7 linked regions of the Sus scrofa genome follow. The protein of the gene in region 5 interacts with the protein of the main gene of each other region in a pairwise test. Links are inferred from orthologs where the notes say so. Each region holds a gene or a part of one and is shown on either strand. Other genes may lie near its edges. The genes, in order: RNF8, POP5, HYPM, TXLNA, CEP44, ABI gene family member 3 and SPERT.

Region 1 (3,500 bases), on a different chromosome or scaffold from region 5:
ACAAAAGAGTGTAACAAATGGTAACCTTGGGGAGGTGTTTCATTTTCATAAGGAGCTCAGAGTCCCTGAAATATGCTCCACTTGGCCAATGAATTCCCAGTGACCTTGCATCAATGACATTTACCCCTCTGTTTAAAGCCTGCACTGCATGGACACTCTCAGCACTGTGCCCATTCTGAGCAAAGAAAGAACAGCTTTATTGAGCAGCTTTATTCTGATACTTCAAAATTCTGATGCCATTCAATTCTGGATTCCACCAGAATCAAGTGGCTCCTTAGAGGCAAAAAAAACCTATGGGGGCAAAACACTGGGCACAAAATCCAACAGCACGCAGTTGTCAGAAAAGTAGAAAACACGGGACATTCTGACCTGGAGAGGGTGGGGCAGCTCTCAGTGGTTCTTTGAAATCAAGCTGTTTTCTCCCCATCAACAAAGAGATAAAGGCTTTATTACAGGCCAAAATATTGATTCTACCAAACAGAGACTCAACAAGAACAAATGAAATAAGAAAAAAAGACAGTGAAGGCAAAGAAGACTGCAAAAAAAAAAAAAAAAAAAAAAAAATGAGAAGTGGCCATTTCTAGAGGTCACTTTGAAGTCAAAGAGCTATAGTAAGTTCCTGAAAGAAATATCTCTTCAGAATGTTTCTCTGTAGCAGAAGCAGCCGGTGTAGACGAGGCTCCCTTCAGGGCTGGGAGAGTGAGAAAGTGTGAGCCACTGCTCACGGTTACCTCAATGAAGTATTCTGAGCAAATAATACACTGAAGCTCGTTTTCTAGCACGTCATTCATGTGGCTAAGAACTTCCTCCTTCTGTGCTTGCACCTTCTCCTTCTCTTCCTGCAAAGACACACATCCCCCATCTGTCATTCGGGAAAACCAATAAGAATGCAAAACAGGACAGGGAGCAGGGTTAATAGTCTACAGTAGGACTCAGAAGGAGTCTAAATTAAAAATTCACCCTGGCGCAGCAACAGGAGATTAAAACTCTTTCCCCAAGGGATGCTGTTTCTCAGGACTGCTTTCTAATACAGGGCACCACATGCCTTTTTTCTCTCTCCACTTTTTCAGTATGTATTTGCACCGTAGTCTGTCTCCTTCCCAAAATTTACATACCAGCCCCACCAACCACCCAAGACCAGAAGAAGGCATTAAGATCCTATAGCAAACTGCAGTTCAGAGGTGACATAAAATCATCCCAAGAAACCAAGAACGTACTGAAAAAGAAAGAAACGGGAACAGTCTATAAAGGAGGATGCTTGCATTAGTGTATAAGGTCCCTTGTATGCTTTGCAGCTGCCTCTCCTATAAAATAAGGATAATACCCATGCTCCCTACAGGCGGGAGGCTGGAGAGATGGTCTCGTGAAGTACCTTCAGGCCCCACACTCTATGATGTTTGTCACTTCCCACTCCTGCAGTGCAATTTCCCTGGGCTTTCCCTAAGAGGTCAGACCTCTTGTCTGTGGACACACATTTTAGGGAGGATAGAGGCGTGCTCTCTTGAAGCCAACATTCATTAAGTTAGCACTTCATCTCCAAAACAGAAGGATCACGGACATGGAGAACCAGACTTGTGGTTGCCGAGGGGGAGGGGGAGGGAATGGGATGGGCTGGGAATTGAAGTTAATAGATGCAAACTATTGCCTTTGGAACAGATAAGCAATGAGATCCTGCTGTATAGCACTGGGAACTATATCTAGTCACTTATGATGGAGCCTGATAGTGTGAGAAAAAAGAATATATACATGTATGTGTAACTGGGTCACCTTGCTGTACAGTAGAAAATTGAAAGAACCCTGTAAACCAGCTATAACGTGAAAAATAAAAATCATTACAAAATAGAAAGGATCAGAAGCCCCTGAGGGGGAGAAGAAAAGCCATTTGGGGTATATTGAGTGGTTGATTTATTTTTCATGTTTTATTTTCTCTTCTAATCAAAGTAAGACTGTCCGACTGCTTAAGGCAGCAAAGAGGGTCTGGATCCATTTCTAATTAGAGTCAAGATTCCTGAAAACTTTTGAACTACTATGTTTAAAAAGATGTGCTGGTTTCTGGGAGGCTGGGGAAGAAGGCCCATGGGACTTACAGGGAGGATACGAATATCGACCCAGGTGCAAAGTGAGTGTCTCCTTTCTGTCCTCCACTACAGGTCTGCCCATGAGGCAGGGTGGGCTGAGAGATGCGGTCAGACTCAGGCACTAATTCCAGGTCAGAGGTTGCAAAGTGGTGGCCGGGGGACTGGACCCAGTCTGCATGCTTATTCAATTTGTCACTCATGGTATCAAAAAACCGAACTGTTGCCAATCCTTGAAAACCAGGATATTTCACTTAAACATTTGGATTTCCATCTTTTGTGGGAAACTCAGCTCTGACAACACCGGGCTTGCATTCTGGGAAGGCAGGGACTGGCTGCAGCAGAGAAGAGCTGCCCTCTTGGGGTGGAGGTGAGGGTGGGGTGGTGCCCCTCTCCAGTGTGCCTCTGCCTCCCAGCTCCCCACTGTGTTCTTTCTCCCAGGCCACTTAACTTGTTGCCGGCCTGACCTCAGGGGGCATTTGAGTTTACAACCTCTGATTTAAGAGTTCCACTGAATGGACATGGGAAGTAATTCCATAAATGCGTGAAGATGAACTCTTTCTCAGTCTAACTGCACCACTCCTTAGCCTGTGTGAGTGACATGCTCTGAAGGGGCATCCACCACAGACAACGGACTAGACTAGATGGCAGGGTGTCTTATTCCCAGCATTTTGCTTCTGACTGAGGCAAGGAAATAGATGCTGTCTTACAGGCAGAACCGTCTACAGGCCTAAATACGTTTATAGATTATTTCCCCTGAGACAGGAAACAGCCATAATCTCTCCCTGCATAAACCACAGCAACCCTTGCACTGTTGAAAATGCTGAGTTGCATGTACTAACCAAATTCTAAACCTTCATCTTCTTTCCAGTACCTTGGTCTGCTCCAGCTCTTTGTTCTTGGCTTGAATGATTGCTTCAAAGTCCTTCCTGCTGCGGTTTAGCTCTTCCATCAGAGCCCGATGCTGCAGAAACACAGCAGATACATACTCAAGATGAGCTGCACTGTACCGTTCCTTTCAGCCACACATGCCTGTCCCTCCCCTAGTCACTGTCCCTCCCTTTGTCAGCGGCTTTGGTTCAAGAGATCAATGGACTGGCAATTCAAAGTACTGCTCTTGTTCCTTGAGGACTTCTCATTTAACACGCTGCTTTTTCCAGGGGAAGAGGCAGAGAGGGAGGGAGGCCATCAAATCTATTAATGGCTCTGGAAACAACCCAACCTCTGTGGCCATTTAAACCAAATGAAGAATTTACAATGCCTTCCAGAGAGTCTGAGTCTATAGGTTTGGCTTTGGGGGGTCCAGGGATGTGCATTAAAAAAAAAAAAAAGCCACCCAGGTGATTCTGGGAACTAACGCTCCAGAACTAGTAACTGAGACCACCAGCATGGGGAATAGCTTTTAAGAAATAATCAGGGAGAAAT
Region 2 (4,276 bases), about 25 Mb from region 5:
TTGTCTTGTTGTTGTTGCTATTTCTTGGGCCGCTCCCGCGGCATATGGAGGTTCCCAGGCTAGGGGTCGAATCGGAGCTGTAGCCACCGGCCTACGCCAGAGCCACAGCAACAAGGGATCCGAGCCGAGTCTGCGACCTACACCACAGCTCACGGCAACGCCGGATCGTTAACCCACTGAGCAAGGGCAGGGACCGAACCCGCAACCTCATGGTTCCTAGTCGGATTCGTTAACCACTGCGCCACGACGGGAACTCCGGCAAGTTTTAAACAATAAGTCAATTCATTTTGAGCTGGTAACTGGCCACTGATCAGCAGTCATCCAGTTTGAGAACTGTAGAAGGTGCTAGTGCCTCCCAGAATTCCCTGTCCAACAAGTAGGCCCTGAAGCTTAGGCGCAACGCAGCCTGCAAAAGTTCACTCCATTGTCTCAGCAGCCTCCTCACCGCCACTATCTGAAAGCTCCTCCCCAGTGGACTCCTCTTCTAGTAAACAGCTTCTTGTAACAGACTTCTGGATAGCTTCCCGCTCTCCTGGAGAAAGAGCATGGATTATTAAAGTCTCTGGAAGTGACCTCTCATTCAGCTGGAGGAGGTCAGTCACTGCTCAGTGGGCACGGGGCTAGCAGGGCTTACCTTCATCAGTGCAGTTCTGCAACAAAATCAACAGCTGTCTCCTATTGTACTGAATGAGGAACTTCTGACATGTTCTAATTGTACCTGACACAAGAAAGAGCTTTGCAGTCAACAGCTCGCAAAAGGTGTTTGCCTCAGAGTCTTGCAGAGCTAGGAAAAATTATCTTGCTCTTGGCAAGGTAGCAGGAGGACCCACCCACTATTGAAGACTGAACTCTGAACCTGTTTCCTATTGAAAATCAGCAGCCATAACACATGCACCCCTACCTCCCACGTGTAAGGTGTTAAAAAAACACGGATAACGGTGTCCTTTGTTCTCCAAGTATGTGATGAAGGGAAGAGCTGACCACACGAGCCGATAGAATTCCTTCCGGCATCGAAGTAGCACTATTCCGGTATAGGCATTGAGGTATCGCACTGCAGCAGGAAAAAAATCATTTTGGGAAAATGGATTCTCAGGAGCACGTTTAAAATCTTAGGGTAGAAGTTCCTGTCATGGCGTAGCGGAAACAAATCTGACTAGGAACCATGAGGTTGCTGGTTCGATCCCTGGCCTTGCTCAGTGGGTTAAGGAACTGGCGTTGCCATGAGCTATGGTGTAGACTGTGGCTGTGGTGTAAGCTGGCAGCTGTAGCTTCGATTCGACCCCTAGCCTGGGAACCTCCACATGCTGTGGGTGCAGCCCTAAAAAAAGCAAAAAAAAAAAAAAATCTTCAGGTAACTGAGAGCCTATGTACCAGAAAACATTCAAGGCGGTGGCACTTGGGATGCCATCAATGAGTAAAAACTGATTTCTGAAGGAAAATAATGGGAGATAAATAACATCTAGGGCCTTTACATACCACTCAGAATTGGTGAATGAATTTAGAATTTAATTTTTTGCTTTTTAGGGCCACACCCATGGCATATGGAAGTTCCAAGGCTAGAGGTTGAATCAGCTAAAGCTGCAGGCCTATGTCACAGCTACAGCAACTCGGGATCGAAGCTGCCTCTGCCACCTACACAGCTCAGGGCAACCTTGAGTCCTTAACCCACTGAGAGAGGCCAGAGGTCTAATATGCATCCTCCTGTATCCTAGTCAGGTTCCTTAACTGCTGAGCCACAAAGGGAACTCCTAAAATGCACTTTTAATTCACAAACTAGTTAACCCAAGGAGGGGGGTGGCAGAAATCCATACTCTTCAGAAGGATGTTTTCCCTTAGCTGAAAAACAAGTTCTGCAACTGGGCTATGTAGGTTCTTCCAGCAACCGAGTCTCACCTTGGTAGAAGGGTTGCCTCTAGGTACATTACCTTCTCCAGATTTCAATTTCAAGCATATGGTAAAAAACGGAATGAATTTACATAGTGTGGTTGTGGAGGAGGGTCCTCTCTTGCATTTACACATACACACAACTGTGTATTCTGTACTTCACAGGCCCCTATGCAGGGCTTTTCAGGGGTAATTCTGACAATGCTTTTTTCATATGATGTCAAAGTAACCCGTCAAATAACTTACTCGGAACTATACAAGTCTTTCCTCATTTAGTTTTCATCATCCTATTAAACTCAATCAAAAACCACACGTCAAATAGTATAGGGGTTTCTGCCGACTGGTATTTTCTGCCCACTGCCTACTGGTATTAGCTCTCCGCTTAAGTTTGGACTCAAGCAGACCTCAGGCTCGGGTTCTGAAACTCCTAAAAAGGACGACACCCTACATAAAATGGTGCACAGGGCTTGGCAGCTTCCAAGGTCGCCCGTGCCCCTTCTTTCTCCCTCCAATGGCCACTGCTCCCTCCAGATCCCGCCATCCTCCTGGTTCCCCAACACCCTCGCACCCGCGAAGCCGATGGAGGAGGCGGCCGCGCCGAAAGTTCCGTGCACGCGCGCGATCGTGTCCCGTACTAGGCCGCCCAGCACTCGGTCCTCCAGATTCAGACGGCAGCGGGGGTCCTCAGACACCACTTCGCAAAGCAGGTACCTGGGGCAGGCGAGAGGGCGGTGAGTGCTGGGCCGGGGCCAGGACCGCAGGGACAGGAATAAGGGTTGCTTACCTGTGCTTGAAGCGCACCATGTTCGTATCCGCCTCGGGCGTCCAGACACTCAAACCGGATGTCTGCCTTCTCGTCGGCGGCCAATGGGAAGTTGGCCTGGCAGCCACTCAGAGAGGGAGGCGGAACTAGAATGTAGGCGGAGCCCCGTGTCAGTCTCCTTTGAGCTCCGCCTCCCTCTGCCGAGCGCAGGCGTCCTGCTCATTTCTTCGCTTAGACTTTCAACTGAACCCGTTGTGATGAGTGGTTGTGCTCCACGCCAGAGTTTGCTGTTTAGGATGCAGCTGAGGCATTTGGAACCTCCAGGACGTTCCATTACCTTGCAACATAGTACCCAAGCTGGACGGTGGAACATTTGAGCACAAGACCTTGCACCCCCCAGGCCAGGGATTGATAGGGGAAATCGGACTCTTATTCTCAGTTTGGAGCTCGGTTTAATTTCTCCATACAGCCAAATATGTTATTACTGTTTAGGCCTTTCAATAACCTTATGGAGTTGGGTGTATTGGCTTGTTTTTTTTTGTTTGTTTTTTTGTTTTTTTGCAAAAACAATCCGTGGTCGTTATATTTTCTGGTTATTTTGGTTTGTTTTTTGTTTTTGTTTTTAAACAGAAAAGCACAAAGAAGCAAATAAAAATAAGTTATAATCCCAGCACCTAGAGAGAATAATTTATCATGTAGTGGATTTTCTTCCAACATTTTACCCCTGTTCCAGTGGTTTTCCAGGTGAAGTCCAGGAACCACTGGATTTTCCCAGATTCTTTTAGGGAGTCCCCCGAGGTCAAATTACTTTTGTAGTAACACTAAGGTGTTACTTGCTGTTTTCACTTTCTGAGTGGACAGTAAAGTTTTCCAGAGGCCAGTGACATGTGCTGACATTGCTCTGATGGCTAAGAGAATTGTGCATGGTGTTTTAAACATTTCTGTTTTAATAAACATAGTGAGTATCAATATATTTCACATAACAAAAGCTCTTTGGGATCCTCAATAATTTAGTAAGAATGGAAAGGGGCCCTGAGACAAAAAAGGTACGAGATGTACCTTCCACTGTATGATAATTTATATTTTCCATTTTCTTTTTAAGAATAGGATCATACTGTTTACTACTCTTCTTTCCCCTCACATTGAATATCTTTTTAAAAACTGAGGCATAACATACATAAAATGCATATTAAGTGCATAACTCAATGAATTTTTATATATGTATAAACTTTTGCAACCACTGCCCAGATTAAGAGATAGAACATTTCCAACACTCAGGAAGGTTCCTGTGCTCTCTTCCGAGCCAAAAACCTTCCCAGAAGTAGCCTATATTCTGACTTCTGTCATGACAGATTAGCTTTTTCTCTTCTGGAACTTTATATAAATGTAAATCTCCAGCAGCATATTTGTGTGTGTGTGCGTGCATGTCTGGCTCCTTTCTTTCAACATAATGTCTGTAAGATTCATTCTTGTCATTTGACTATATTTTCATGCCAGCTGTTCTACAAAGTTATTTTTCAGTTGCCCCAGACTGCATTGTTTGGATGTACCACTGCTGATCTAGTCAATATTTCCATGATGGATATTTAAATTAATTCCAGATTTTCTTGTTATAGCCAGTACTTAGTT
Region 3 (2,844 bases), on a different chromosome or scaffold from region 5:
TCCCCCTTGAACTAAGTTCATGCCAACTGCTCTGCCACTCTCTCCTGAGAAAATCCCCATCATAATCAAAAGACAGTCACGAACAAAGTTCACGCCAAGGGCTCTGCCACCCTCTCCACCCAGCCCACTGCCATCGTCGCCTACTTGTAGACCTGCTGCAGCAGGAATGAAGCTTTCAGGTCCTCGGTCCTGCTTTGCAGCCCCTCCCCCGTCACCACCGCCATTCTGGGAACTCAGCATCCTCGGGGGCCCTGCCCACCCCGGCCTCCCAGGCCCGGGCGCCCTCAGAGCCACGGAGGAAGGAGGGCCTCGCCCCCCACAGCCTCGGCCAGCCCCGCCCACCAGGACCACGCCCCGCCCCGTCGCCCTGGGAAACGGCTCCCCGAGATCCCGGCATCCCGCACTCACACCTCCCGGCCCCTCACCCGCACCCCGAGCCCCTCCTGGGGGTCCCGCGGACGCCTCAACGACACGTGACAGAAACGGACAGGCATCTGAGGTGCAGCCAGGGATCTAAATCCGTTAACATTTACTGATGACAGAAGCTGGGCTCCTCAGCTGAGATCTGCCTTAGGCTGAGGCTGTGAGGGCTCCTGCCAGGCTCTAGGACCCATGTTTCAGCCATTCCTTCGGGATCCAGGCATTTCATCAAACAGAGCAAAAGCTGTATCCTTCACCTGCCGATGGGGCTCTGCGTTGCTGTCCACTGCCCTCTCCACGTCTTGTGGGGTCATCTGCATCCTGCCGGTGTTGGCCTTAGTGTCTACCAGATCCAGGATGTAGTCGGTAAGGTATTCGAGCACGGAGAAGAGGAAATGTGTTGTGGATGAACTCAGAGTGTGGACATACTGATCTTCCTGCAGAAGATGGTCCACGAAGCTCACAGGGACCTGTGGCTCGGTTGTTGTAAGATGAGTTGGAGCCTCATAAGAGCCCTCGGGGCTTTGTTTTCCTGACATGATCTTTGCTGGCTTCGGCTTCAATCAGCTCTGCTTGATGTTCCTGCTGGACTGGACCTCTTGAGACACCCGCATTCAGCCCTGCACATGATATAGCTATGGTCTAGTCCCTTTGTGACATCCTAGACTTTGGGACATCACTGGTTTCCATTGTGCCTTAACTGAGCCTCAGCCAAGACATGTCCATGACAGGACTCTGACTGGACCCTCATATGGAGGGAACTGCCCCTGACCTTAACGTTGTAGAAATAACTGTATATTTCAATGGCAAACTTGTCTCTATCTTTCGGACACCATACCACATTTTCCGACTCTAGCCTTGTAATGTCTTTGAAGGTTTTTATAACCTTTTGTTAGTGGGAGGTTGGTGAGAAACATAGTAAATGTACTGCCTAGAAGAGGTGAAACTGTCCCCCCTCTCATGATGTCATGAAACTAGTTTTGCTTACACATTCATTTAAATATTCTTTTCTTTTAAATGTTATAATTATTATTTTTAATAGTTATTTCCCAAATACAATTTAAATATTCTTGATCAATACTCCTGTATCTAATGTTTGGATTCTTTTTTTAAAAAAAATTTTTTTTAATTTATTTTAATTGGGAGTTCCCACCATGGCGCAGCAGAAACGAATCCGACTAGGAACCACGAGGTTGCGGGTTCGATCCCTGCCCTTGCTCAGTGGGTTAAGGATCCGGCGTTGCCATGAGCTGTGGTGTAGGTTGCAGATGCGGCTCGGATCCCATGTTGTGGTGGCTGTGGTATAGACCAGCAGCTGTAGCTCCGATTAGACCCCTAGCCTGGGAACCTCCATATGCCGCACCCAGCGGCCCTAAAAAGACAAAAGAAAAAAAAAAGAAAAAAGAAAAAAAAATATTGTAATTGGTTTACAATGTTGTCAATTTCTACTAAACCGCACAGTGACCCAGTTTTATATATCTTACATATACATACATACAAACATACGCGCGCGCACACACACATTCATTTTCTCACATTATCCTCCATCGTGTTCCATCACCACAAGTGCTTAGAGATACAGTTCCCTGTGCTATACAGCGGGACCCCATCCACTTGGATTCTCTTTTGAACGAGTTATAACATGTTCCCTTTCCCTCACTGAGCAAAATGGAATCTTTTAACCCATGTTCACCTCATGTCTATTATGAGTGTCTTGATTTTGCACAGTTTGAAAAACATCTTTTGACCATTTGGGAAGTTCCAATGAGATACTCAATGGATTTAGCTGTAAGAAGCAGGACAATATTGTAGAGAGGGCAAAAGCTGTACTGGGTGCCCAGTTTCAGCCCAGATGTGTCTTTTCTTGCCTGTCCTAAGTGAGGCCAAGACACCAAGTGTTGTTTCTTCTCACTTTTTTCTTATTTTCATTTTCCTCTCCACTAATTTTGTGTTTACTGCCTTGTTTTTGCTTCATTTGCTGCTGATAAGAGTTACAGACATTGCTCTCCCAAAAGAGAAAGTAGAAGGCAGAAAGAACTCGGATTCAAGCAATTTCAGCATCCAAGCAGGCAAACCTCCTCAGCTATCAAGTCCTGAGAATGATCTTTTGTGGCTTGAGGCGCCTCCCTCTAATGCCATGATTTCATCTGGGACCATAGCTCTGCCCTCAAAATCATCTTTCTTTTCTTTTGAATGGTGAATATGTTTGCAGCTGAGTAGTTTTATCAGCCTGTTTCCGCTTATGACATTTTGGGAGTCCCATAGCCTCTTTCATGTCATCTTTTCTCTATCCTTTCAGTTAGCGACGACATTGTTTCTGCCTATTTAATGGACTCAAAAATCTTGCAGTCGCCCATGTATGTCTTGGGGATTCATGTCCTTAAACAAGAGGCTGATTCACAAACCCCTCCTGGAAAATCTAAT
Region 4 (3,962 bases), on a different chromosome or scaffold from region 5:
GGAATCTCCATATGCCGTGGGAGCGGCCCAAGAAATAGCAGCAACAACAACAACAAAAAGACAAAAGACAAAAAAAAAAAAAAAAAAAAAACCAAACAGAAAACAAAAAACAAATGCCAGCTACAGTTAGCCTGTAGTTTTCCATGCTATCGTCTCACCTGGGGCCAGGTGGCAGTCAAGCCTTTGAATAAAGCAGGCATTCTCTTGGTCCTCATGGGTGCCTCTGGCTAGCTTGGCTTTATTTGAGTTTTCAACCTCATCTAATCCAATTCTCTTATTGTGTAGAGAAGTGAAAACCAAGGACCAGAGAGGAGAAAGGTCTCGCCCAAGGTCACACAGCAAGTTAGAAGTGGTGCTGGCTGAAGAGGACTGACCACTCAGGCCTCCTTCTTTCCATCTTCTCAAAGAGAGCAGGTTAGACTTCGGTTCCCGCTTGCTCCCAGGCTAGAAGCCCTTGTGCAGTGAACCTGCACGTCTCTATGCTATGGTCCTGCAGCCCCTGCTCTCATTAAACTATGTAGGTTGAAAATGTTCTCAAATCAGGTTGTGATGATGGTTGTACAGGTATAAATGTAATAAACCCGCTGAATGAAAAAAACATTAGAAAAAACAAAAACAAAAAGTAAGTAGCTGCTCTGGAAGTAGTGTTTCCTCCAAATCCTGGCACAGCAGGCTAACCCAGGAATGTCAGATTCAAACTCCCTCCCCTCACCAGCCTCATAAGCAGCTGCCCTCTGCTCACCTAGACCTTTGGCTTTCTTCTTTTCCTGGGGCCTTCGGTGGTCTCGGTCTACGACCTCGTCACTTGCCCGGATCTCGTCTGCGCCCGGCTCCCCCTTGGAGGGCTCCTTCTCACCATTGACTACTGGGGTCTCTGGCTCAGGCTCCCCATTCCTTGAGGCATAGGTCCGGGACTTCTCTGCATCTTCAGGTTCACCAGGCTCACCCTGTGCCCCATCTTCGCCTGGGCCCCCCTGATTGTTGTCTATACAGTATGTACTGAGGATGTCTTCCAATTGGCGGCTCAACTCCTCTGAGACATCACGGAGGGCCCCAGTTTTGGCTTGTGCTCCTGCAGCAGGAGGGATGAGGGGCAGAGTCAGAAATAAGACCATTATGCCACTGGCTGGGATTTTTTCAGGCCCAAACTTACTAGTTTGGGTTAAATGTTACCTAACTTCTTTAAACCTCAGTTTTATTACTGATAAAACTATTTCTCACCTCTGCCCAACCATGCTTGTTATAAGAGAAATCAAGTAAGGAGACCACCCAACACAGAGGTGGCATCATGTAGCAGGAACTCAAGGTCTAGTCCACCTGCAAATGTCACTTCTTGCTATTAAAAAAGTTCCAAGAGTTCCCGTTGTGGTGCAGCAGAAACGAATCTGACTAGTATTCATGAAGACTCAGGTTCGACCCTTGGCCTCACTTAGTAGGTGAGGGATCCTGTGTTGCTGTGACTGTGGTGCAGGCTGGCAGCTGTAGCTCCAATTCGACTTGAGCCTGGGCACCTCCATATGCCTAGGGTGGGGCCCTAAGAAACAGAAAAAAAAGAAAAAAAAAAAAAAGTTCCAGAAATGCCTCAAATAGGAATAGCAGTTACCCACTGCTGAAAGTGGTGTTTTTGATTTGCTGGTTGGGTGCCTCATTTGACTGCCAACCTGACTTAATCCTGTCAGAAGCTTCTCTCAGGAGAGTTCTGTCCCTGTGCTTAGGGTGGGAGGCTCTATCAACTCCCCAGCGCAGAGTGGGCACTCAAGGACTCAGTGGTGTCCTCCCCTCATTCTACATTTCCTCCCTTCTGGATAAACAGTGGCCTTGGCTTCTAACCCCAGAAGCTAGACTGACGCACCATAAACTCCTCCCCCTGCCCATTGGAAAAGCAGAGCTGGCACACACCCTCAGCCTTCCCTGGAGCCTGGCTGGTGGAACCTTCAGCTTCTGTCGTGGGAGCAGACTGGCTGGGCCGCCCCTGGCCTCCCTCTGGTCCTGCTTCCGGTTGCCCCGGGGTGTTTTTGGGGTTGGAAGTGTGGCCAGATTGCTTGGCAGCCCCATTCTTTTTGTCTTGGTTCTTCATTGTTGTTTGCAACGTTAGGTTATGAGCAGAACCTATAGAAACAAATACACTTGCTATTTTCCAGACTTTAAACAATTCTTCGCAGCCTGGATCTGATATCTCCACACCGGACCCGCAAAGCTTCTTAAACCGACCGGCCTTCCTCGGATGGGAGCCAGTGGGGCTCCCTATCTCTGGTCGGTCAGGGAAGTCTGGTGTGCCCAACAGCAGGGGAGAGGAGGCCTCCTTTTTCCCCGAAGCTACTTCCCCGGCACAACCCAGCCCTCTCACCACAGCCCGTGCGCCGGACAGGCTCAGGCCCAGGGACTGACGTGGCGGGACGCTGGATTCCCGGTTCCTCCCCGCCCCCCAGGCCCCACGTGTGCCCACCCCCCCGCGCGCGCGCGCAGCCACCCACGCCCCGCGCGCCCTCCAGCCGCGCGCTCCGCCCGCGCATGCGCACAGGCCTCGGCCCCTGCACTCCAGCCCGAGTCCTCGTGCGGAATCGGCGTAATTCCCTGAACCGTCCGAAGGCGTCGGGCCCCGGGCCCTCTGCTTGCCTTGTACCCCTAACCGACGCAATACGCACCCCACCGCCGACGTCCCGACGGCTTCTCCTGCTCTGGCCTCTCACCGGAAACCCTGGGTAACTGCTGCCGGCAGAGCCGCCTGCTCGCGCCGCGGCCAATCAATAGCCCGCGCTCTCGCGGGGCTTGCTGGGAAAGTTGAAGCGAAGGCGGCCTCTGAGGCGGGTGAGTTGGGAAGGCGGAGTGGGGGGGTGGAGGGACAGAAAGGACTACATGTCCCTCCATGCACCGGGCTGATCCCGACTCCCAAGCTGCAACAGGGCTTTCGTTCTTGGAGCCCAGACCCAGGAGGTCCGAAAGCAGCCAGTCATTCTGCACTGGTACTCACGTCAACCTCCTTTCCATCACGCAGAAGTTATGATTCAGCTCCCAGAGCCTTGCGCCTGGCTGCTTTTTCCCCGCACACCTCAACCCCGTCCTTCCCTCCTGCTGAGGATATCTGTGACTATCTAGGAACTCTGAGGACGAGGGATAAAATACGGTGCTGGACATCAGATCTGTATTCCTTCCAGTCCTAATTTCATCACTAATTTGTTATGTGACCGGGCATTCTTTTCATTCCCAGAGCCTCGATTTCCGTATTCCTATAGAAAATTTTAATAACAGTAGTTCTTTGAATGCTAGCTTTCCCAGTAACTACTCCAGATAAATACTGTAGTATTTGTTACTCTCAATTTACACCTGTTAGGTGATTGTCCAAGGTCACATAGCTATTGACTGATTAGAGCAGTTTCAAAGCCAGGAAGTCTGGCACCCATCTCAACTACTGGACTACCCTGCTTCTTACTCAGGAAGAAATAATCACCATGATGCGCTTTCCTTGAGGGTGAGTCAAGGTAACTTGGAAAAGTAAATACTTAATTTCCCATCCCCATTTCCACCTTGAGTCCCTCTTTGGAAGGTGCTGAGGCCCTGTAAGGGGAAGTTTGGTTTCAGCAGATTCCTGAGCCTTTTCTTTGGCCCACTCCTACCAAGTCCCAGTTGCACTGGTGCTAAAGGGGAAAAATAGCCAAGCTTTTCTCAAAATGTGAAATCACAATTCTTTTTCCATTTGTCTGTAGACAACAGAATAAAACACAGCAACCTATGTGCTTGGATTTTTTTTTTTTTTTTTTTTTTTTTTAAGGGCTGCACCTGCGGCATATGGAAGTTCCCAGGCTAGGGGTCTAATCAGAGCAGTGGCTGCCAGCCTGCACCACAGCCATAGCAACGCCAGACCCGAGCCACATCTGTGACCTACGCTGCAACTCATGGCAATGCCAGATTCTTAACCCACTGAGTGAGGCCAGGGATCGAACCTGTGTCCTCATGGATGCTAG
Region 5 (3,500 bases):
AAAAAAAATAAGGCTTAAGGATACTAAAATGATCAAACACTAGAAAATCATTTCTGTGAAAACGCCCTTCCAATATCACTGACACCAATACACTAAGAACTCACCCGGATTGAGACTATCCATGTCGCTACTAGAAGCATACTCTTCACTCATTTCATTAAACTCTATATAGTTGTCATTCTGGAATAATACAGTTCACTAATTAGAATAAAATAAAAAGAAATGGTTCTCATTTTATACTCTTATGGCTAAGGATTAAATATAAAGATGACATAATGTTTAAATATTTTTGATTACTTTCATTTAAAAGCAAAAAAAAAAATTCCTATGTATAAAAATGATCTTTTCAATGTGGAAGGAGATAGAAACTTTGAATTCACTAACTTTCTAGGAAGAATAGACAGACTAGGAGCAGAAATTGACATTCTGAGTAAATCAAGATACAAGTTTCTCAGATTTGATAAGGCAATGGCAAATATGGTAACTATTTCTACAATATTTATAATTTGAAGTAAATGAGTGAGAAAGGAAGTTATCATTTTAATTTTTCCTACCCTGGCAACTTTTTCTTCACCTTGTAACAGTAGGCCATTTGTACTATTAAAGGAATAAAGTAATTTCGACTTTTTTATAAATACATACAAACAATATCTTACCTCATTTTTAAGTATTTCAAGTATTAGCAGTTCTAAAAGCTCAATTTAACAAGTCTGTCAGTTTATCTTATTTGATGAAGAGAAAAGCAACAGCCACAACCACCACCAAATAGGCTGTACCTAAAGAGGTCTTTATTACAACAAAATATTTCCCACTACCTAAATACCCTCTCATTTATCATTCTAAAAGATACACAAAAATTAATTAAAGAAATACTTAATTGTATCTGAGATATTCCAAAAATGTTATGGAAAGAAAATACCTTTTTAGATAAAAGCATTTCTGTTTCAAGAAGAGTGACACGACTTAGAAGATTGGTCCAGGTTTTTTCATTCACCATCACTTTCCCTTTCATTTTCGTTTCCAAAGAGTCTAATCTATTCTCTAGGCAAGTCAGTTTCCTAAGCTTTTCTTGGCATTCGGCAAGCATCACCTGTAGTGCAGTAATCTCAGGATTGACTTTTACATCCTAAAATGATGAGAAAGATTAAAAATATTATTCCAACTGAAATTGTCATAGTTCAAGTATTCCCATTTGCACCGTGTTGTTTCAACAGCCACAACAGGCAGGACAGCGAGAGAGCTGAGAGTGCTATTTCTGGAGGCAGACCTCTTAGATACATAACCTAGCTCACATGAGATGCCCGATGCCTCAATTTCCTTATCTAAAAAAAAAAGGGACAAGAGTGCCAGTTTCATTTGGGTCTTGCAAAGATTAAATGAGTTAACATACAAGTTCATAGAACAGTACCAGATGGTAGAAAAGAAAAAAGCTTGCAACTACCTTCTTCTCATTACATCTAGCAGAAAGCTAAGAGGAAGTGACCAAGAATGACAGTGCATTGAGACTGTTCAGTTTGCTGTAAAAAGGAAATAAGCTGAATGGTCATCTTGTAGTTTTTATAAATGCCAACTGTATACTGATGTACAGAAGTCATAAGACAGAAAAAGAAGTTTTAGCAGCAGCAGTAAAGACTAGAAACTATGATGGGGTCTATGGCAATAAAGTCATAGAAATGGTGTTCTGAGAGAGAGCAGAGGACAGCAAGGGCCCTAAAAGGGAAATGAAAAGGCAATAAGGAGTACACCACTTTTCCCGTTCATCAATATGGGGAACAGGTAGTAAAGAACCTTCACTGAACAAAGTGGTACATCTCCCTCTCTTTCTCTCTCTCTCACTAGACTGTGAATTATTTGAAACCAAGGAAGTCTTATGTCATTCTTCTTTGCATTATCTACAAAAACTCACCTAGTACCCCAAATATAAGGAATAAATAATCTTTTGGATTATATCCAGTGAGGATCATTGATTCGTAAGTAATGGTAACAAAGGTAGCATGTCATGATCAATAATTAAAAAGTCTAGAAACGTTCTAAAGATTAGATGCTGAAATAATCATGTCTATCAGAAGAAATATCAACATCTGTTAAATAAGTCCAAAATCCTTACTTGTTGCTCACAGTTAATCTCAGGAACCTGTAATTCAGGAATCTTGAGGTCAGCAGTCTTCAAGTCACAGACATCAAATGCTTCATGAACATCTGCTGATGGATCTTCAGGAATGTTAACACCATCTTCACTGTACAGGTGGCGGATCACCACAGCTTTCTTCTGTACGGAGGAAAACAGAGAGGCTTTCATGTTCTCCTCCACAATTATTTCAAACACACACGTAGCATTTTGAAAAAACAAAGAACAAAAAACGTCCTATTTTTCCACTTAAGACTTCTGCAAGTTGAAACTACCTCATCAGCATATACCAAATATCACAAACTTTAAGAATTTTATTTTCTATGTGAGGATAAAATTGTGGTCATATTCTTAAAAAGATTCTTGTATTTTACAAAAATGTTGAAGTATCTATTCAACGATGTCTAGGACTTGTTTCAAAAGGTTTTGGATTTGGAGGAAAAGATGTTGGGAAAAGCGGTTACAGGAAGGATGAACAAGATGAGCAAAGAGTTGACAAACAGCTGAACTGTGGAATGCCTACTTTGGTAAATGTTTTAAATGTTCCATAATAAGCTACTTTTAAAAGGTTACCAAATTACTCATATACAGATAATCAAGAGCTCTATGCATAGGATTCATTACAATTTTTTTTTTTTTAACGGGTGTACCCTTGGCATATGGAACTTCTTAGGCTAGGGATTAAATCCAAGCCACAGCTGCAACCTACCTCCACCATAGAAGATTGAAAAAATGCAATCGGTTACGTAAGTCATATTTAGTAAGTACTTATGCCTAATCCACAGTGAAGATTAAAAAAAAAAAATTAGTCTAAGAAAATCCCTATTTACCAGCTCCCATTTTGGTGCAACAGGATCAGTGGCATCTTGGGAGTGCTGGGATACAGGTTCAATCCCAGGCCCAGTGCAGTGGGTTAAGGATCCAGCATTGCTTCCACCGAGGCTTGGATCTGATCCCTGGCCCTGGAGCTCCATATGCTGCTGGGCAGCCAAAAATGAAAAAAAAAAAAAAAAAAAAAAAAAATCCCAACTAGAAAAATTCTAGTTGGGAAAGGATACAAGATACTTAACATTCCTTTTATTTTGTCCTCATTACCTGGAGCAAAACAGGCATTTTTTTTTTTTTTTAAGTTACTGACATAAGAACCTTTTACCTACAGTTAAATGTCAATATTTTTAATAAAGGCATAGAGTATAAATATCTTCATAGACTCTGTTTATATAACATATTCTGAATTGGGGAAAAATAATTCCCTAGATTTTACTTCAGCCAAAAAATACTCATCCTTTATCAAATTACACATTGATTATTCATCTGGAAACCTATCCTTCAATCTCAAAAGGGTCTGCCCCAGATGGAAGACACCTGAAAG
Region 6 (2,847 bases), on a different chromosome or scaffold from region 5:
TTCCCAGCCCCTCTTCCCACCCCCCTCACCCGCTGCCTGGGTCTTGGGTCTGAAGGCCGCTTCCTCCTCTGCCGAGCCGCACCCTTTTCCCCCCAGCAGCCCCCAGCTCGCTGGTCCCCAACCCTGAGAAACCCCAACCCCCGCGCGGGGCTGCGGAGGTGGTAGGGAAAGGACCTCCCATTTAGAATCGTCCCCTGTTGGCCGGCCTGCGGCACTGGCTTTGGGGAGTTGGGGGCAGAGAGGGGCAGCACCCTTGGAGTGTTCAAGTGACAAGGTGCAAACACACGTGCCAGGGAGCACCTGTGTGACGGACAGCGTTTGCCCAAGAGAGGGTGCACGGGGAATGATGTCTTCCGCTGTCCTTCAGGAGGGACAAGACAAAAGGGACTTGAGCTGAAGCACGAAGAACTGAGGTTGGACAATGGGTAGAATGGGCTGGTGACTGAAGGAGGGAGTGTACTTTCTCTTTGGGGGAAGAAGGTGTGTTAAAGGATATGGGGTGTGGGGGCGGAGTTCGCGTCGCGGCGCAGTGGTCCATGATTCCGACTAGGAACCATGAGGGTGTGGGTTCGATCCACACCCTCGCTCAGTGGGTTGAGCATCTGGCATTGCTCAGTGGGTTGAGCATCTGGCATTGCCCGTGAGCTGTGGTGTGGGTCCCAGCCGCGTCTCGGATCCTGCGTTGCTGTGGCTCTGGCGTAAGCCAGTGGCTGCAGCTCCAATTCGACCCCTAGCCTGGGAACCTCCATATGCCGCCAGAGCGGCTCAAGAAAAGGCAAAAAGACAACCAAAAAAAAGAAAAAGAAAGAAAGAAAAGGATATCAAGGGGTCATTTAGATACTAGGAAGCTTCTAGTGTCATCTGGAGTGTTGCAGGATCTGACCCTTGTCTGTGACCTACAAAACGGCTCATGGCAACTCCGGATCCTTCACCCACTGAGCAAGGCCAGGGTTCGAACCTGCAACCTCATGGTTCTAGTCGGATCCATTAACCACTGAGCCACAATGGGAACTCCCGGAGTCTCCTCTTTAAGGAGGCCTTGTGGGGTGGGGCAGCAACTTAGGATGATGGCTTCAGGGACTGAGGAAGGAAAGAGGCCGCAGGTGGGGACAAGAACATGGCCGTGGAAGAGAGCTGAGGCTCTAGAGAGAAGAGATCGGTGAGGCAGAAGAGGGTGGGCTGTAGAGAAAGAGGAGGGGCCCCTCTCTACCTTGATCCCATGGCCAATGTCATCCAGGCAACCAAAGTTGAGGGGTTTCCTGTAGTAGGGCGTCAGGGGAGGTAGGCTCTCAGGGGCGATGATTTTCTGGCTGGGGGGCAGCCGCTGGACAGTGGCTAAAGTACCGATCTCCCTTCGGGCCACCTTCTCCATATGCATGTTCACCATCTGCGACACAGACACAGGGTTGGAGGTGACAGTGAGATGGCCTCTGCCCAGCACCTCGCCCTTTAAGATGTTGGCGGGGGGGAGGGGGAGGACCAGAGGAGGCCATGAAGTCCAGAGAGAAAGAGGGAGGTCTGTCCCCATTCCACACAGCATTTGGGAAAAGAGTGGCCAGGGGAGGATGGAGCTACTTTGGAGCAACTTCCTGGCGGAAGAGAACAAGGGTTATTTATTGTTCGCTGAGCAGGAACCAGAGGCAAAGGGAAAGCACAGCATCCCTGGGGGTGCAGGGAAGAGACGGGGCTGGCTCGGGAGCAGAGCGGGTCAATGCGGAGGTGGCTGAGAATTGTGGCTGGAGCAGCTCTCCCTTTGGGGGGACACTATGAAGTGAATTAACTTCCTCTTGGAATGTTCTGTGGAGAAACCTGCAGCCCCGGGAGGGCGGGACCTCCAGCCTGCTGGGGTGAGAGGAAAAGACACACCCACACGGAACCTGTGGAGGATACACAGGCCAGGCTGATGTGTAACTGGAGCTGTGCGGGTGGTTTATGGGGCAGTGGCTCAGCCAAGGATCCAGGAAGGAAGGAGGAGGGCGTGTGTGCTAGATAGGGTGGGGGGTAGTGGCAGTGCTGCCAGGGCTGAGGATACCTTGCCAGGCAAGCACTGTGGGTCTGGGATTTTTCCTAAGTCACTGCCTGTGTTAGGATGGAAACTGGGTCCATTTGCCTCTTTCCTGTCCCATGCAGCCCCCGTGATGGGGAGAGCCTACTGTCTGTCGTATAGGAGAGAACTCAGGGGAAAAAAAGTTCTGCCAGGGAGTTCCGGTCATGGCTCAGTGGGTAACGAATCTGACTGGGAACCATGAGGTTCTGGGTTCTATCCCTGATCTTGCTCAGTGGGTTAAGGATCCGGTGTTGCCGTAAGCTGAGGTGTAGGTCGCAGATGCGGCTCAGATCCCACTTGGCTGTGGCTGGTGCCTACAGCTCCCATTAGACCCCTAGCCTGGGAACTTCTTTATGCCATGGGTACGGCTCTAAAAAAAAAAAAAAAAAAAAAAAAAGGAAAAATCAAAAAGAAAAAAAAAGAAAAGTTCTGCCATCACAGAATTCCTGGTCTGATGGAGCAGCAAGGCCCACCCCTGAGACATAGCTACAGAGACAAGAGGGCTCAAAAAGCCTGGCATGTGCGTTTGGACATGGAGGAAGGCTGCAGAAGGTGTCCAGGAGGGGATTAAGAGTTGGGGGCTGAATTTCCCGTCGTGGCGCAGTGGTTAATGAATCTGACGAGGAACCATGAGGTGGCAGGTTCGATCCCTAACTCCACTCAGTGGGTTAAGGATCCGGTGTTGCGATGAGCTGTGGTGTAGGTCACAGACACAGCTTGGATCCCGCTGTGGTTCTGGTGTAGGCTGGTGGCTACAGCTCTGATGAGACCCCCAGCCTGGGACCTCCATAGGCCACGGG
Region 7 (4,053 bases), on a different chromosome or scaffold from region 5:
AGAAAAGGTGGTAGGTTTAGGCACCTCCACTCCAAAAACTTTCAGAAGGCTTTGCCATCAACTGTAAAATATCTTATCAGATATCACTTTCACATCCTTTCAGACTCAGATTTTCATAAAGTACATTATTAGCAAGAAGGGATAAGTGAGCAGTAGAAAGTCTTGTTTTCTGGGTGAGCATCTGAGGCCCAGAGAAGGGGCCGGGAAGCAGAAATCCATTTATTTTCTCTTTTCCGCAGCACTCGAGGCCAAATTTTACAAGAAAAAGAGATACCAGATGTGAAAGCCTAGAAATTCCAATCAATGTGGTTCTGCCTCAGGTAGGGATAATCACAGAAGGATGCAACCCTTCAGTTAGCCAGAATAACCCTCCCCTTTCAAAACTCTAGCCTGAGGACATGGAGCAGGCAGAGCCAGCAAGGCCTCCGATTCTAGTTGTAGGGCAGCTGCCAAGCCAGCAGTGTGGCTGGGGGAGGGCACTTAAGCCATTCTGAGTCTTGAATGGGGGGTGGGGAGGGAGCTTGTTAGGTGATCTGATAAGATCTTCCGGCCCTACCCCTTGAAATCTCTGTGACACTCTGAAATAAGCCAGTCTCTCCAAAATTAGATCTTTTGGCGTTGGCTGTTCTGCAACTTCTCTGGATTTCTGGCAGGTCCTGGGAGGTGGCTGGCAGACAATGAGATCTGAGACTTGGAATCAAAAACGCAAGACCTGGAGTTCCCATTGCGGCCCAGCACTAACAAACCCAAGTAGTATCCATGAGGACACGGGTTCGATCCCTGGCCTCATCCAGCGGGTTAAAGATCCGTTGTTGCTGTGAGCACTGGTGTGGGTCGCAGAGGAGGCTCGGATCTTATGTTGCTGTGGCTGTGGTGTAGGCCAGCGGCTACAGCTCCAATTCAACCCCTAGCCTGGGAACCTCCATATGCCGCCGGTGTGGCCATACAAAGAAAAACAAACAAACAAAAAACAAAACCAAAAAACATATGACTTGAACCCATGAGGAGACAACCTAGGACTCAGCCCAAGGGGTGCAGGGTCATCTGGGGGTGTCAGGAGAATTAAGACCTGCTTTTTGCCCAAGACAAGAGTATGGGGGGGCGGGGCTTGCAGGATTCCGAATGGAAGCCCGTGAATGGATGACGGGCTGGAGATTCTCAGCTCTCCGCCTGCTAAGCAGCCGTTTCCCTGGAGGGGTTCTCCTGATTGGATTGTTTCCATGGCTATGTCACAAAGGGGGGGCAGCCTTGCTTCTTCAGAGTCACCTAAGGCCCTGCTGGAAGATCATGGCTGTGCAGCCGGAGGGGCTGAAATGTAGGGCGGAGGAATCCAGCGTAGAGGTAGCCACCCAGAGAGCTCTGTCCAGGGCTGTGTAGGAACAGGACTGACTGCCCCTGGGCATCCTGGCCTTTCGGAGGACGTGAGGCACTGCTGCTGCGCACAAGTCCTGTGTCAGGTTCCGGACCCTCAGCAGGATGCTCCAGGCCGGCAGTCCTGGGTGGGGGAAGGGTGCGTCTCTAAGTTTAGATGAGATGTGGGCGCGTTCAGGTCCGGTTTGTTCAGGGTGGTGTGGCTGTAGTCTGTAAGTTTAGATGATCTGAACTGGGCCACCTCTAGGACTGTGAGGGACCAGTGTGCTGACTCGATCTCCCCAGAGGAGATTGTGCATGGCTGGCGGCGGGGCAAGGACCGATCTGCTTAACACGGCGGGGGTTGGGGGGGGAGAGAGGGAGATGCCCTGAGCACTGATGTGTGATGTGATCACGTGGTGGGCATGGGGCCAAGCAGCGTGAGGGAGACTGTGTAGGAATTGAAACCCAGAAGCCCCACTAGTAAGGCAGGGCTGGAGCTGGAGGCTTGAAACCAGGTCAGTGCCTCTTCCTCTGCTGTGCCCCCGGCTGGGCACAGGCCAGCTGCGTCTTCCCTGGCTTTTAGGACATGGTACCTCCCCTCCCCCCCATCTTTACTGCCTACCCCCGAGCTCCCTGCAGGTCTCTGCCACATTCTGCTTCCTTCTGAGACCAAGTCCATTCGTCGCAGCAGGGAACAGCCACAAGCAGCCCTGAGCCCTGCATTGCCAGAAAGCGCCTCTGGCCTCCTGGCTCCCAAACAAGCCGCCAGGCACGCATCTCAGTTACATTGCAGATGCCTATGGCTCACTGTTTGTTATCACCCTGTGGTCTTTTCAGGTCTTATTGATTTTCAGTTTTTCTTCCTCACATTAGGGACTTGTACTTTCTGAGCTCTTTCCCTCCAGCGCGTTAACCATCAGTGCCCAAGCTCTCTGCCCTCCTGGGTCCTTTTGTACATAACAATTCAGTTCGGGCGGAGGGGGGGGGTCGCAGTTCCCCAGTGAGCGCTCTCTGGGAACTTCCTAAAGGCACTGTTTACTGCCAGACCATTGATGCAGGACCTACACCAGGTCAGGATGCATTCTGACAGCGACCCCCTTCCACTCCTGCCGCCCCCCATCCCTCTCTGTTCCCTTGTCCCAGTCCCCTGGGTTTGGGTTTGTTCTTCAGAAGCTATGGACTCTGCCGACCATGCCTGCACCTCTGCCAGTTTGAATAAGCTTTAGGAAGAAGATGTCAGAAGATTCCGTGTTCAACAATTAGCAAAAATGAGCACAGAGGATGGCAGATGACATCTTTATCCTCTTTGCTGTTAATGTTATGATTCTATCAAGATCAATCACATTGACCTGTGAATTATCCTCTTATCTGCTGGCATTTATGAAAACCAACATTGACTTTCTCATGGCACTCGGGAGCAGAGTTAATTTAAAAATATGATAATGAGGCTCAGGCTTATCACCTGGTCTGAAAATTAGTGGCGTGGCTGGTCTTTCCTTCCAGCATCCTGGGGCCTCTCAGCTTCACACGCCTGAAAGGGAACCTCCGGTGGCTGAATGTTCTGTGATTGTAACCCTCAGTGACGCTGCCAAAGCAGGGCTTTAATGGACTTGGTCGGAGTTCCCAGTGTGGTGCAGGGGAAACAAATCTGACTAGGAACCATGAGGTTGTGGGTTCGATCCCTGGCCTTGCTCAGTGGGTTAAGGATCTGGTGCTGCCGTGAGCTGTGGTGTATGTTGTAGATGGCGTTGCTGTAGCTGTGGTGTAGGCCGGCAGCTACAGCTCTGGTTAGACCCCTAGCCTGGGAACCTCCATATGCCACAGGTGCAGGCCTAAGAAGACAAAACAAAAAAAACAAAACACGAGATGCTGGGGAGAAGGACAGGCCTGATGCTAAGGACAGATCCCCAACCACAGGGGGGATTTAGGCATCTGTGCGGGAGATGTTGGTGCCCAGAGCCCTTCCTGGGCCCTCAGCATGAATGCATCCTACTTATGTCACAGCTGGGAGCACATTGCTCTGAGGCCAACCTGTTTGGTTGCCTGGCTAATAAAGCCTTTGGAAAGAACCCCACAGCTATGAGTCTTCCCCTCCTGCATCCTGCATCCTTCTTTGCATCCCCTTCTTCCACGGGGAATCCCACCTTTTCCTCTCCCACCTCCTGGGTCTGCATCCACATGCCAGGGCACTGCCCACAGATCAGGGAGGAGACCAATCCTTTTCTTCATGGGAAACCTGGCCAGGCTGCTCTGGGCGCTGGGATCACTCTGGAACTTTCCGGGTGTTCCAGGAGCTTTTTATGGGCACGAACCCCTTGTTGTGAAATGTGTGGTCCTAATTCCCAGGACTGGGAACGTCAAAAAAACCTAAGGCATGGGTCACTGTCCCTAGAGAATTATATTTTATTCATCCGGGGAGAAGATGGGATGGGACATAGGAGAACCACTGCAAAGTAATGATAGCAACACACATGCATAATAAAATATCTGGACATTGCGAAGCGCTAGAATGAGCATGCAGTTTGGAGTCAGATATCCTGGTTTTAAACCCTTGCTGGCTGTGTGATCTCAGGTAGAAACACAGTAGCTCCTTTCAGTAAGATATTGCCTATAAATATGGAAATCAATTAGCACACCATCACATAGTAGTCATTCAGTAAGTGTTATTCCCTTTTCCTTGTTCCATACAGTATAAGGAAA

The links.
Region 1: the proteins of CEP44 (region 5) and RNF8 interact in binary tests that used the Homo sapiens proteins (3 or more experiments, as listed by UniProt). The two-hybrid records come from large-scale screens. The link is inferred for Sus scrofa from reciprocal best matches to the Homo sapiens genes CEP44 and RNF8.
Region 2: the proteins of CEP44 (region 5) and POP5 interact in binary tests that used the Homo sapiens proteins (3 or more experiments, as listed by UniProt). The two-hybrid records come from large-scale screens. The link is inferred for Sus scrofa from reciprocal best matches to the Homo sapiens genes CEP44 and POP5.
Region 3: the proteins of CEP44 (region 5) and HYPM interact in binary tests that used the Homo sapiens proteins (3 or more experiments, as listed by UniProt). The two-hybrid records come from large-scale screens. The link is inferred for Sus scrofa from reciprocal best matches to the Homo sapiens genes CEP44 and H2AP.
Region 4: the proteins of CEP44 (region 5) and TXLNA interact in binary tests that used the Homo sapiens proteins (3 or more experiments, as listed by UniProt). The two-hybrid records come from large-scale screens. The link is inferred for Sus scrofa from reciprocal best matches to the Homo sapiens genes CEP44 and TXLNA.
Region 6: the proteins of CEP44 (region 5) and ABI gene family member 3 interact in binary tests that used the Homo sapiens proteins (3 or more experiments, as listed by UniProt). The two-hybrid records come from large-scale screens. The link is inferred for Sus scrofa from reciprocal best matches to the Homo sapiens genes CEP44 and ABI3.
Region 7: the proteins of CEP44 (region 5) and SPERT interact in binary tests that used the Homo sapiens proteins (3 or more experiments, as listed by UniProt). The two-hybrid records come from large-scale screens. The link is inferred for Sus scrofa from reciprocal best matches to the Homo sapiens genes CEP44 and CBY2.

What each region holds. Positions count from the first base shown.
Region 1 is NC_010449.5:32,955,812-32,959,311, reverse strand, and holds part of RNF8 (E3 ubiquitin-protein ligase RNF8), read right to left. Parts: intron 3,040-3,500; coding exon 2,950-3,039; intron 840-2,949; coding exon 732-839; intron 1-731. UniProt on the Homo sapiens protein: E3 ubiquitin-protein ligase that plays a key role in DNA damage signaling via 2 distinct roles: by mediating the 'Lys-63'-linked ubiquitination of histones H2A and H2AX and promoting the recruitment of DNA repair proteins at double-strand breaks (DSBs) sites, and by catalyzing 'Lys-48'-linked ubiquitination to remove target proteins from DNA damage sites.
Region 2 is NC_010456.5:40,523,135-40,527,410, forward strand, and holds the start of POP5 (ribonuclease P/MRP protein subunit POP5), read right to left. Parts: upstream 2,801-4,276; 5' UTR 2,689-2,800; coding exon 2,669-2,688; intron 2,596-2,668; coding exon 2,453-2,595; intron 1,052-2,452; coding exon 902-1,051; intron 719-901; coding exon 635-718; intron 533-634; coding exon 417-532; 3' UTR 1-416. UniProt on the Homo sapiens protein: Component of ribonuclease P, a protein complex that generates mature tRNA molecules by cleaving their 5'-ends. Also a component of the MRP ribonuclease complex, which cleaves pre-rRNA sequences.
Region 3 is NC_010461.5:33,887,947-33,890,790, reverse strand, and holds HYPM (huntingtin-interacting protein M), read right to left. Parts: upstream 1,559-2,844; 5' UTR 960-1,558; coding exon 618-959; 3' UTR 501-617; downstream 1-500.
Region 4 is NC_010448.4:88,658,889-88,662,850, reverse strand, and holds the start of TXLNA (alpha-taxilin), read right to left. Parts: upstream 2,801-3,962; 5' UTR 2,646-2,800; intron 2,415-2,645; exon of another isoform or gene 2,348-2,414; intron 2,110-2,347; 5' UTR 2,078-2,109; coding exon 1,900-2,077; intron 1,073-1,899; coding exon 743-1,072; intron 1-742. UniProt on the Homo sapiens protein: May be involved in intracellular vesicle traffic and potentially in calcium-dependent exocytosis in neuroendocrine cells.
Region 5 is NC_010456.5:15,883,600-15,887,099, forward strand, and holds part of CEP44 (centrosomal protein of 44 kDa), read right to left. Parts: intron 2,270-3,500; coding exon 2,108-2,269; intron 1,127-2,107; coding exon 920-1,126; intron 181-919; coding exon 105-180; intron 1-104. UniProt on the Homo sapiens protein: Centriole-enriched microtubule-binding protein involved in centriole biogenesis. In collaboration with CEP295 and POC1B, is required for the centriole-to-centrosome conversion by ensuring the formation of bona fide centriole wall.
Region 6 is NC_010454.4:25,436,116-25,438,962, reverse strand, and holds part of ABI gene family member 3, read right to left. Parts: intron 1,388-2,847; coding exon 1,211-1,387; intron 1-1,210. UniProt on the Homo sapiens protein: May inhibit tumor metastasis. In vitro, reduces cell motility.
Region 7 is NC_010453.5:21,617,903-21,621,955, reverse strand, and holds the start of SPERT (spermatid-associated protein), read left to right. Parts: upstream 1-1,253; 5' UTR 1,254-1,287; coding exon 1,288-1,341; intron 1,342-4,053.